Rattus norvegicus: one gene and its partner. The protein of the gene in region 2 purifies or fractionates together with the protein of the main gene of each other region. This does not show direct contact. Links are inferred from orthologs where the notes say so. Each region holds a gene or a part of one and is shown on either strand. Other genes may lie near its edges.

The links. Proteins that work in one complex are often made in the same cells at the same time.
Region 1: the proteins of Rint1 (region 2) and Bnip1 purify together in Homo sapiens (co-immunoprecipitation; 3 studies listed by BioGRID and IntAct, counting the BioPlex papers as one, with this or other methods). This does not show direct contact. The link is inferred for Rattus norvegicus from reciprocal best matches to the Homo sapiens genes RINT1 and BNIP1.

What each region holds. Positions count from the first base shown.
Region 1 is NC_086028.1:16,900,203-16,905,516, forward strand, and holds the start of Bnip1 (vesicle transport protein SEC20), read right to left. Parts: upstream 3,360-5,314; 5' UTR 3,349-3,359; coding exon 3,265-3,348; intron 196-3,264; coding exon 103-195; intron 1-102. UniProt on the Homo sapiens protein: As part of a SNARE complex may be involved in endoplasmic reticulum membranes fusion and be required for the maintenance of endoplasmic reticulum organization. Also plays a role in apoptosis.
Region 2 is NC_086022.1:12,244,470-12,249,911, forward strand, and holds the start of Rint1 (RAD50-interacting protein 1), read right to left. Parts: upstream 3,649-5,442; 5' UTR 3,527-3,648; coding exon 3,485-3,526; intron 3,082-3,484; coding exon 3,036-3,081; intron 1-3,035. UniProt on the Homo sapiens protein: Involved in regulation of membrane traffic between the Golgi and the endoplasmic reticulum (ER); the function is proposed to depend on its association in the NRZ complex which is believed to play a role in SNARE assembly at the ER.

The sequences.
Region 1 (5,314 bases), on a different chromosome or scaffold from region 2:
AAGGACCTGGTCAACTCTCAAGGGAAAGTTCTTCTAGGCCGGAGCTCCCGGCCCTGCCACCCACCCTCAGCTAACACTGAGTGGTTCTGCAGCCTCGCTTACCTGGATCCTGTGTTTTAACTGTTGAAACTTTTCTTTCACCTTAGTGTTCAGTTCGGTAAGCTCACTTAAGGGTCCGGAACAATCTCGAATATCCTAGAAGACAATGAAGAGATGAGGGGCCTTTCTCCCGTCGATGAAATGAAATGGCCTCATTGGCACAGTGAGAGAGCTGAGTCAGTCCGCAGCTAAGGTTGGCCAAGCTCTCTTGCTACCTCATCCTGCTCAGTGCTGTTCTGTTGTTGTAAAAATATAAAAAAATAAAAAGTAAGGTTGTCTTTTATCCCCCCTAGGTCCACCACTGCAGTGCCCCAAGATATCTGCTTCTTAATTCTCAGTCAGCAAAGTGTCTCACCCGCTCTGCTTCATCCTATATCCCATTGCCAAAGGCCTCTCTCTGAGCCTGGCAGCAATCTCTCTACCTATCTAGTTCCCAAGGCAGGTTTCCATGCCAGAAACACATCCCAACTCTGTAGTGGCCCAGACCAGCCGCCACACACTTTCTTACACTTAAATCGCTATATGAAAGAACACACAACACAATAACCTTTGACCCAATTGATAAGATATAATTGCCCACCTAAACACACAAAGCCCAATACACATCTATCCCTTAAAAACATTCGTAACAACCTGTAAAGGTACAGCGTGGGATCTTAATGTCACCTGCCATATTGTCCTGCCACAGCTTCTCTCCCTGTCCTTCCAGTCCCCTCCTCTTCCTTCAAATTTTTCTCCCGCCCATCCTTCCTTCTTGTCCAATGACAGGCCTCCTTCTATTTTTTTTTTCTTTTCTATTTTTCGGAGCTGGGGACCGAACCCAGGGCCTTGTGCTTGCTAGGCAAGCGCTCTACCACTGAGCTAAATCCCCAGCCCTGGCCTCCTTCTATCTTGTACCTGCCTCACCTGTGACATCATCCCACACTGTTCTCCATCATTTTCAGTTTCCTCACCCTCTTAAGATTAACACCAGAGGTCCTGAGTTCAATCACCAGCAACCACATGGTGGCTCACAACCATCTGTAGTGGGATCCGATGCCCCCTTCTAGTGTGTCTGAAGACAGCTACAGTGTATTCATATAAATAAAAAAATTAAAAAAAAAGATTAATACCAAGCCTAATAGGAAAAAGCAGGCTGAATGTATAGTTCATGATACAGCACTTACAGAGCATGCTCTGGGCCCTGGCTTTCATCAGCAGCAAAACATGCACATAAACACACACACACACACACACACACACACACACACACACACACACATACACACACACTCACACTCGTGAACGCATTGTATGTGTGTAATAAATAAACAGGTAAAGCTCAACCTTGACTTAGAAGTTTAACAAAGTGTATTCACTAGGAAAGGCTTCTTCAGCTTCCATGCTCCACAAAAATGAACACCTAAAAAAAACCCTGAAACTTCAGATCCTTCCAACTCTAAATCCCTGGTAACATGGAACAAAATTAATTTAGTCTGATTTTACAAACCATCTGTTGCATGTCAAAATGTTTAAAGACGGACTGAGAATTTGCTTCTGGAAAGAAAGTCAGATTTATGAGAGCCAAGTTTTAGAGCAGGCTCTAGACTTAGGCTGTGTATATTCAAATCCAGGTTAGAGCAATTTATCAGTGAAATCTTGGAGCACTTAAGTTCTCTGTGCCTCCATTTCTTTATCTTACCTTTCTCAAGATCGGTCTGCCTAGAACACTTGACAGAACAACTGGAGCACCATAAGAATACAATGTACAGGGCTATGCGTACTCATTAGTAACTGTAAGGACCCAAAACACATAGGTCACAAGAGACCTAGCTAACAGAAAATTTTATGAAAATACAAAGTTTTATGATATTATATAATTTCATACTATGATATAATATGAAAACACAACTTTTCAAAATTTTGAATGTAAGGGTTTTTTTTTTGAAGACAGATCACTCTGTGTAGTATGGGTTGGCCTCAAATGCATGGTGATCCTGCCTATGCTTCCCAAGTGCTAGCTAGAGCCACCATACTAGCAATTTTGTTTTACGTATGTATATGTTTTCATAGATGCATTCTGAGGACTGAAACCAGAGCCTTGCACATGGATAACCTTTAACTCTACACTCAACTAAATTTAACCCCCAGCCTCTGGTAATCTCGCTTGTATAAACCCAATCTTGTTTATTTTTCTATAAGTGGCCCAAATATTTTTTATTTACACATCTTAGGAGTGAAGTGGGAGAGATGTAAAGTTTGCAGCGTTTCTTCACTCGTTCTCTAGGCTTACTCATGAAATCACACTTCCTCACACCATCGGAGACTATTAATGTGGTACAGTGTACATCTGGCTTAGCAGAGAATACTACTCCCCACCCTCCTTTTTACAGGGGCTCGCAAAACAAAGCTTAGGCCAGCAGCCAGGCACAACCCATTTGCAGCACTGGGGATGGAACGCAGCGCTAAGCAAGTGCAGAGCCGTACCCCTACCCAATTCTTATTTGCTGTCACAGCTTGTATCCTGAGCCGATTGGGTTCTTTTTGCCAAACTCTGGAGTCATTTCTACATTCCCTTTTCGTGCCCGTGTTCGATTTCTTACGCGCCACAGTCTCTACTTACACCTGCTTCCAGATAAGCGCCTCACTTTCCGGTCTGTTCAACCGGATAGGGAAGCTCTAAAATGCTTTTCCTAGGCTGGTTTTCCCCATCCAGGTCCTAGTACTGGCACTGCCTGCCTTCTGACCCAGAACTTAGCACAATATTTGAATTCTTCGTTCAAAAAATTACAACCACGTCCTAGGTTAAGTTAGCTTGGGCCAGAACTCCCGCGTCAGGTGGCCTTGGGTGCCCTCCGGGTCCCTAACTCAGGGAAGTGGGCGTGGGAGAGGGGCAGGGCGGGGGGAGGGGGAGGGCGGGGCTACCTCCGAGACTTCGGGTAGCCCCCAGAACCACTTCAGTCCAAGGGACAAGAGCGGCGTGTTAGGCTACTCCAGATTTGGCCAAATCAACAGTACGCAAAAGAAACGCGCTGAAGGTCAGTGTTCTCCGGGAACCGACCGAGTGGTGCTCGAGGAGCCATCCTGGAGAGGGACTGCGGGCCTGGGAGGCTGGACCGGGCGTGAATGTCCTGGAAAATGCCAAGGCAGCAATCGAGAGCCGGACAGGAGCCTACTAATATGTACCTGGATAAGTGCCTTCACCTCCAGGTCGAATTTGACAATCTCCTGGTTACAGATTCGGACGTGGACATCCTGGGGGGCCGCCATGTTGGAAACGCGGCTACGGCGAGCGGCGGCAGCCAAGCTGAAGCGCGTTCGCGTGGCGCCTGCCCGCCTTTCCGAATCTCTCCGATTGTGGTGCGGAGGGGAGATCCGGTGTAGATCAAACCAGGTCGCCAGCCCAGACCTGGAACTTTCCTTGACTCGTAGAACACGCACAACTTCTCTGGGCTGCTCCTACTAAACGGAAAAGTGAATTGTGATTATGAAGAACCATTAGGGTTGGGGTGGAGAGGCGGGGGCGGGCTTGGATTACAACTCAGGTGATGGGCTGGCCTGCCATAAGGCCTTCAGTTTTGTTCCCAGTACTAAGGAAACAACCCCCACGCCCACCCTTGCTAAACAGTGGGCACTTTCCATCATTCAGAGACCAGCTATTCTAGTGACATTTTGAATAGGAAAAAAGGACCAATTAGGATGTCACCAAAGTTGTAGGGTTTTTTTCCTTTAAAATTTAAAGCGAAATTTCTACAGAAAGTATGAATTACGGAGTAAGACACAAAGTTTGTAAAGATGCAGAATTAAATACAGGTCACTGGGGCACCTCCATTAGTATGACCGTACCCTGGGGCTTTCTTATATTCAGAATCTACACTGCCTTCCTCACACATTTCTATGGCTATGGTTCTGCCCTTTGTGTAGAATTGAATTCCAATTATCTCGAAGGAGTAATTCTGATTGTGCAATGTAGTTTTAGTAGAAACAATGTCAGTGCAAACCTCAAAGAAGGGTAGTGCTTTTTAAAATTATTTCTTAGTAAGTCCTCACACCATTGGCCACTTTCCTTTCCCCCACCTTCTGGGATTCTCCAGGCTCTGTAGTCTTGGGTGTGGGGTTCCCTCTTTTGAAAATGTTTTTCTCAAACTGCACACACAGCCCCTACAAGTCAGTCTCCACACATGCCTTTCTGGTCCAAAGCACCCTGTACCACCCATTTCCTAAAAGGTGCTCAATAGCTCACTGCAGCTAACGAGAGCCTGGATTCCAGCCTAGTAGTCAGCAGCCTGGCTCTAGTTATTCCCAGAAGAATTCCATCATCAGTAGCATCCATCACTCCTAAGGTCCCCTGGAGGGCGGAATGAGGTAGGACACCGCTGATAACCCATAGTATTGAACTCAATGCTTGCTAGTTTCTGTTCATGTACTGCCAAGCCGCACTCTGGGAACACTTCCCTATGTGCAGCCATTTTCTAAGTGCTTCTGCCATATAGGGTCTCATGTAGCCCAAGCTGGTTTCCACCTGCCAAGGATGACCTAGAACTGTTGATCTTCTTGCCTCAATCTCCCAACTGCTGGAATTATAGGTACTGATGAACACCACAGCTGCCAGACCCGTATTTTAGCTCTACACAACTTTCCTATATATCCTTTCTATCTGGGTGGAGTGGCACATGACTATCCCAGCACTCAAGAAGTAGAGGCAGGGAGAGCCCCCACGACTTCCAAGCCAGCCTAGTCGATATAGTAAGTTCCAGACCAGCCAGGACTGTGGTGTAGAGCCCTGTTTCGTCATACTGGTTATATCAGTTTACGTTGCACCAGCAACATTGTGGAAACGCCTGTTTCCTTTAGCCCCACCAGCTTGGTGTAGTCTCTTTCTTTTTGCATCTCTCATAATGAATGAGACTGAGAAACGTTTCAAAGGTATCACGTTTACTTTGCTCATTTTCCTACTGGGTCATCAAGCTATTCCGTATTAGTTTCCAGGTTCCCTTTTTGTATTAGTATTCACGAGTTGCAAAATTTGTAGACTTTTGACTTTGCTGATGGGTGGTTTGGTTTTTTTTGTTTTTTGTTTTTTGTTTTTTTACCTTAAAGAGGATTTAAATTTGGCAGATCTTTATGACTCTTGGACTTGGGTCTGTGTTTTAAAGTCCTTTCTACAAGGATTTAGGATTGTCCACATCCCCTTCTAGTGCTTACACTTTTGTAAAAACACTTGTATCCTTAGCCA
Region 2 (5,442 bases):
GGTTAAGTCTCAACTTCCAAACTACACGGTAAGTAATAATGTGTGCCTCACCCTACAAAGGTTAAAAAATGAGACTAAGGGTTGGGGATTTAGCTCAGTGGTAGAGCACTTGCCTAGCAAGCGCAAGGCCCTGGGTTCGGTCCCCAGCTCCGAAAAAAAAAAAAAAAATGAGACTAAAATTCATGTCTCCTAGCTTTTCTGTACCTAAACTTTAATAATATCTGACCTGTAAATGGGAAGTTCAGCGTCATCCTCAGCTACATGGCAAGTTTAAAGCCAGCCTGGGATACGTGAGACACAGTGTCTCAAATCACAAACTAATCCAACTGTACTCATGTCCTGACCTCCTAAGAATCGTTCAGAAATAAAGCAAATGAGTTGTGGCGAGTATCAACAGGCTCGACCTTCACTGGAAACAGTGAAACCCACACCCATCAGGTGTAACTATTTAAAGGGGCACAGTATATTCTTAAGCATGTGAGATCCTTTTACACAGAGATTTGTATTAGCTATGTTTGCTTATTTGCTTTTGAGAAAGATCTCGTGCATCCCAAGCTTGTCTCAAACTTGCCATGTACAAGTCAAGGATGACTTTAACTTCAATCTCTAATCCTCCTGCCTCCACCTCTTGGGTGCTGGGATTCCAGGCATGCACCACACTTGATTTTACTTTTGCTTTCTTAAGACAGGCTGGAGAGCTAGCAGCTCTTGTTGCTTTTGGAAGACAAGGATTGGATTCCCAGCCCTCACACAGCGGCCTAGAACCATCAGTAATTCCAGTTCCACGTAAGCTGAAGCCGAAGCCCTCCTCTGGCCTCCCCTGGCACCAGGGCCGCACACTGTCACAGACATATATGTAACCGAAACACCATTAAAAACAATTTCAGAGATGTAGAACTCTCAGCTGCTTCTCTAGCAGCATGTCTAGCTGCACACCACCATGCTTCCTGCCCTCATGGATTAAACCTCTGAAACAGATGTCCCACACCATGCCTTTGTCCATGCTCCCTTCATGATAGTCATGGACTTACCCTCTGATATGCAAGCCCCCAATTAAATGCTTTGTTTTAAGTTGCCTTGGGCATGGTGTCACCTCACAACCCTAGAACAGTAACCAACACACACCCATATATGCCACCAATGAGGGAAAACATGCAGTATCTGTCTGTCTGTCTTATTTCAACATTATAATTTGTGCTTCCATCTATTTTCCTGAAAATGTCACAATTCCACTTCTCTTTATAGCTGAATAAAATTCCTTATCCATTTGCCTGTTAAAGAAAATAATTTCAATTTTAAAAAGACAAGTTTAGCCTTAACTATACAGCACGCAACTAAAAAATAAATAAGGAGCTAAAACCCAAAAACATACAGTCTAACTCTGTGACCTAAACTGATCTCCAAATCATGGGAATCCTCCTGCCTCAGCCTCCAAAGGGCTGGGATTTCAGACGTGAGCCACCACACCTGGCTTGGCAGATTTTTTTTGTCTCTCCCGTTTTATTTGTTTATAAAGAGCGTTCACCATTGCACACAGCAATTAACTGAGCCACTGTGGACAAGGACAAAGTCCTTAATGAAGTAGTTTGCACTTAACATTCTAAAATGATAGATTGTTTGATGTGAAGAGTCAAGGCATGTGGGTAGGCAAAGGTAGAGAAGGTTTGTTTCCTTGTTCGGTTTTTTGTCTTGGTTTTTAACTTTTGGTTTAAGGATGGGCTGGCAGGTACTTATTAAACTTTCGAAATGTTATGTGTATGTGTGTTTTGTCTGCATGTGTGTCTGTGCACCACATTCTTCAGTGTACACAAAGGCCAGAAGAGGGCACTGGATCCCTAGAGCTAGTGCCAAGCAGCTGTTAGCCACACTGTAGGGGTTGGGAATCAAAGTCAGGTCCTCAAATTCTCTTAACTGCTAAGTCCATGTCTGTCTGTCTCATTGTTTGTGTGGTGGTGGCAGGGCTCAATTCAAACCTGGGGCTTCCAAAGTGCGAGGCAAGAACTCTGGCGGTGACTCCCCAGGCCATGTCAAGCTCTAAGGGGTTTTAAATTATGGTTTATTTGTTTAAGGGTTTGTTCATTTAATTTGTGTGCATATGTAGTTTGCTCCCATGAGTTTATGTGTACCATGTGTAAGCCAGAGGCCTGGTTTGCCAGGACCAGACATTTAGAACTCTGAAACTAAAGTATTGAGCTGTCATGTGGGCTCTGGGAACCGAACCCAGGCCCTCTGTAAAAGCAGCAAGCACTCTTAAGCACCAAGCCATCTCTCAAGCTCCGAGGGGCTGGGGAGAGCTTATCAGAAGCCAAACCTTCCTCCTAGGAGCCACATGGAAATGTGGGCACCCTTCAAAAGCTTCTAAAAAGGTTGGGCATGTTAACATCTGTGAAACAGAGGGCTGTGGACTTGGGAGTCCAGGTCATCCTTAGTCATGTAGGGAACCTGGAGCAAACCTGGGCTACATTCAACATTGTTTCAAAACAAAAACAAAAAACCAGCCCCTGCAGAGTACTGAATTCCTAACAACCTGCCACTCTTATCTCTTCAACGTGAAATGACAAATATCTCACAGCCTGACATAGTTTCCTGTCCTAGGTAGGAAATGTAGGTACCAGGTCTTTTCCTTGTCACCTACACAGACCAAGCCCCAGGACCTAAGCTGTGTGTTACCTGCAGCACATTTTAACTGCATATTCACCAAAGGCAAAAGTGCAAGTAAGCGATCATCAAACCTCTCCCCGGAGCCCATAATAGTGACCAGCAAATACCTGATAACGAGTTGGCGGTTCATTAAAATGACAGGTCCCAGTGAACTCAAACCAGTCACTAGGTAAGAGTGTCAAAGTGCTCTTTTAGAGAGATAAAAGTCCACATGCAAAGATAACTAATATTTATTACTGTTTAAAGATCGTACAGGAAAAAGATACTTCATTTAAAAGATAGCTGGCCAAGAAACCTCTTTTTGAAAGACTCTGAAAGAGCGAGCTTCGAAGGACAACTAGACAAAAAGAACTGAGGGTTTGGAGCCTGCTTACTTTTCTCCTCTGTGTTCTTCGTTTCGTCACCGCTCTCGGGGCAGCACTGCAGAGAAACAGGTGTGGCAAACAAGTTAGACTCACGTAAGTGGAATTCATACAGGGCTCCAAAGCGGAGACGTCCCAGGCACCTCTCCCAGAGGCATGCCTGACACTACTGCCACCTCCCCAGAGGTCTGAACCACCTCCCCAGGGTCCAAATTACCCTGCCCTGACACTGAGTCCACCTTCCCGCCAACTCTCAAAACTGTCATCTTCTGGGACATCGGACACTGCACCGTGACTACCTCCCCCGGGACGCCCTTGACTGCCTCGGACCGTGGGAACCACTGCCACACGCTTCCAAGTTACCCTGCGGGGACAATGTCCCGGGGGGGGGGGGTGATGCGTTCTGTGCCACCTCACAGGGTCACCAGAGTCCCTTCTCCGGGTTACCAGGGACGCCTCACCAGGGCTGCCGGCACATCGCCGATCTCGCCAGCTGCAAGCATCCTGCCTCCGCTCGAGTCCTGGATTCCATGCACCGCCAGCCTGGCCTGCAGAGTCCGGCTAGAGAACACACACACTAGGCGACCAGACCAGCCTTCAGGGACGCCGGGTTGAGCGCCACCTCGACTTCCTATCGCCGACTCTCTGGTTCCGTTCTCTTGGCCTAGAGAGGCGTATCTGTGGCGCCGCTGTCCTGTTCCGTGGCGCCGCCTGCTGGTTGGCTGTCAGATCGGCCGCTCAGGAAACCCAGCGACCCTACTGCTTCCCAGGCAGAGAGGGCTGGCTAGCATGCTCTTCTGTGGCAGAGCTCCCTTCACTTCTCCGGAGTTATTAAAAACAGAATTCGGCCCTGGCATAGTGACTCACAGTTGTAATCCCACAATTTGGGAGGTGAAGGCAGGAGGATCAGGAGTTCAAAGTCAGCTCCAGTTACACACTGAGTTCAAAGCCGCTCTTGACCACAGATAACGAGGTCTCTCAAAAAAGAGGGAAGAGAGGAAAGGAGAAAGGGGAGAGGGGAGAGGGGAGAGAAAATACTTTGGCCTCCTTATGATGGTTCAGTATCAGCTAGAGCATCATAGAGAACATCTCGAGATGGCTCAGTGTGTAAAAGCACTTGCCACCAAGGCACCTGGGTTCCATACCTGGCCCATGTGGTAGAAGGAGAGAACCGATTCCTTCAGGTTGTCCTCTGACCTCCAAACGCCTCCCCATCGCTCTATAAATAAATGAACGTTTTATACTTAGGCAAATCCCGATAAAAAAGAAAGTGCGGATACAGACAAGAAGTGTCAGGGTAAGTTACTAGGTTTGGCATGACTGGGAATTTGCCAGTGAATGCCAGTATCCAGATCTTTATTTAATGCTGGTCAGGTTGCTTAGAGATGATCTTATTTTTTAACGGGAAGGTCCAGTTCTGTTTGTAGGAGGCTTGGAGGGTTGAAACATTCTAGGAATCAGGCAGGGCACTCAAAAACTGGCATCCAGTTTGCCTAGCTGAGCCCCCCAAACCTCTACTGTTTTCCAGGGAGGAGGAACTAGAGTTACTTAGAAGCAAGAGATAGGTAGAGAACACTGAAATTTGACAGGCAAACCCTGGAAAATGCCTTTGAGACCAAAACAAATGGGACTAAACGGAGACAAACAAACAAAGAAACAGAAAGCCTTTAGAGGAAATAGAAAATACTCGCTGAGAAAAAACCTCACTGAGGTGCAGGCATACACGCAAACATAACAGCCATACACATAAAATGAAAATAAAAATTAGGAACCAGGAATAGTGGTCACACCTTTTGTTCCAGAACTCAGGAGGCAGAGGCAGGTTAATCTTTATGGGTTCAAAGCCAGCCTGATCTACAGAGTGAGCTGAAGGACAGATAGAGCTATACGGTGAAACTCTGTATCGATCGATCAATCAATCAATCAATCAATCAATTAATAGAGTCTAGAGAGATGGCTCCAGCAGTTAAGAATGCTAGCAGCTCTTCCAGAGAAGCCAGGTTCACTTCTTGGCGCCCCTAGGGCAGCTGACAACTGTTAACTCTAATTCTGGGGCGTCCAACACTGTCTCTGCACTCTCCAGGCACCAGACACACACTTGGTATACAGCCATACGTATGGACAAAACAGCCACACACTTTAAAAAATAAAAGTAATAAAATAAATTAAAAATTAAAACAGAGTCTAGGCTACATTACATCACAAAGCTGTAAGGTCTTATTAATTTACCATAGTCCAAGAGTGTGGGGATGTACAAGAATTAGTGAAACGGGCCAGGCATGGTGCCACAAGTCTTTAACTGCAGTACTTTTAAGGCTGAGGGAGGAGGCTGTTGAATTCAGGGCCAGCCTGGGCTATATACTGAGCACCAATATTAAAAAGAAAAAAATGGGACTGGAGAGATGGCTCAGTGGTTAAG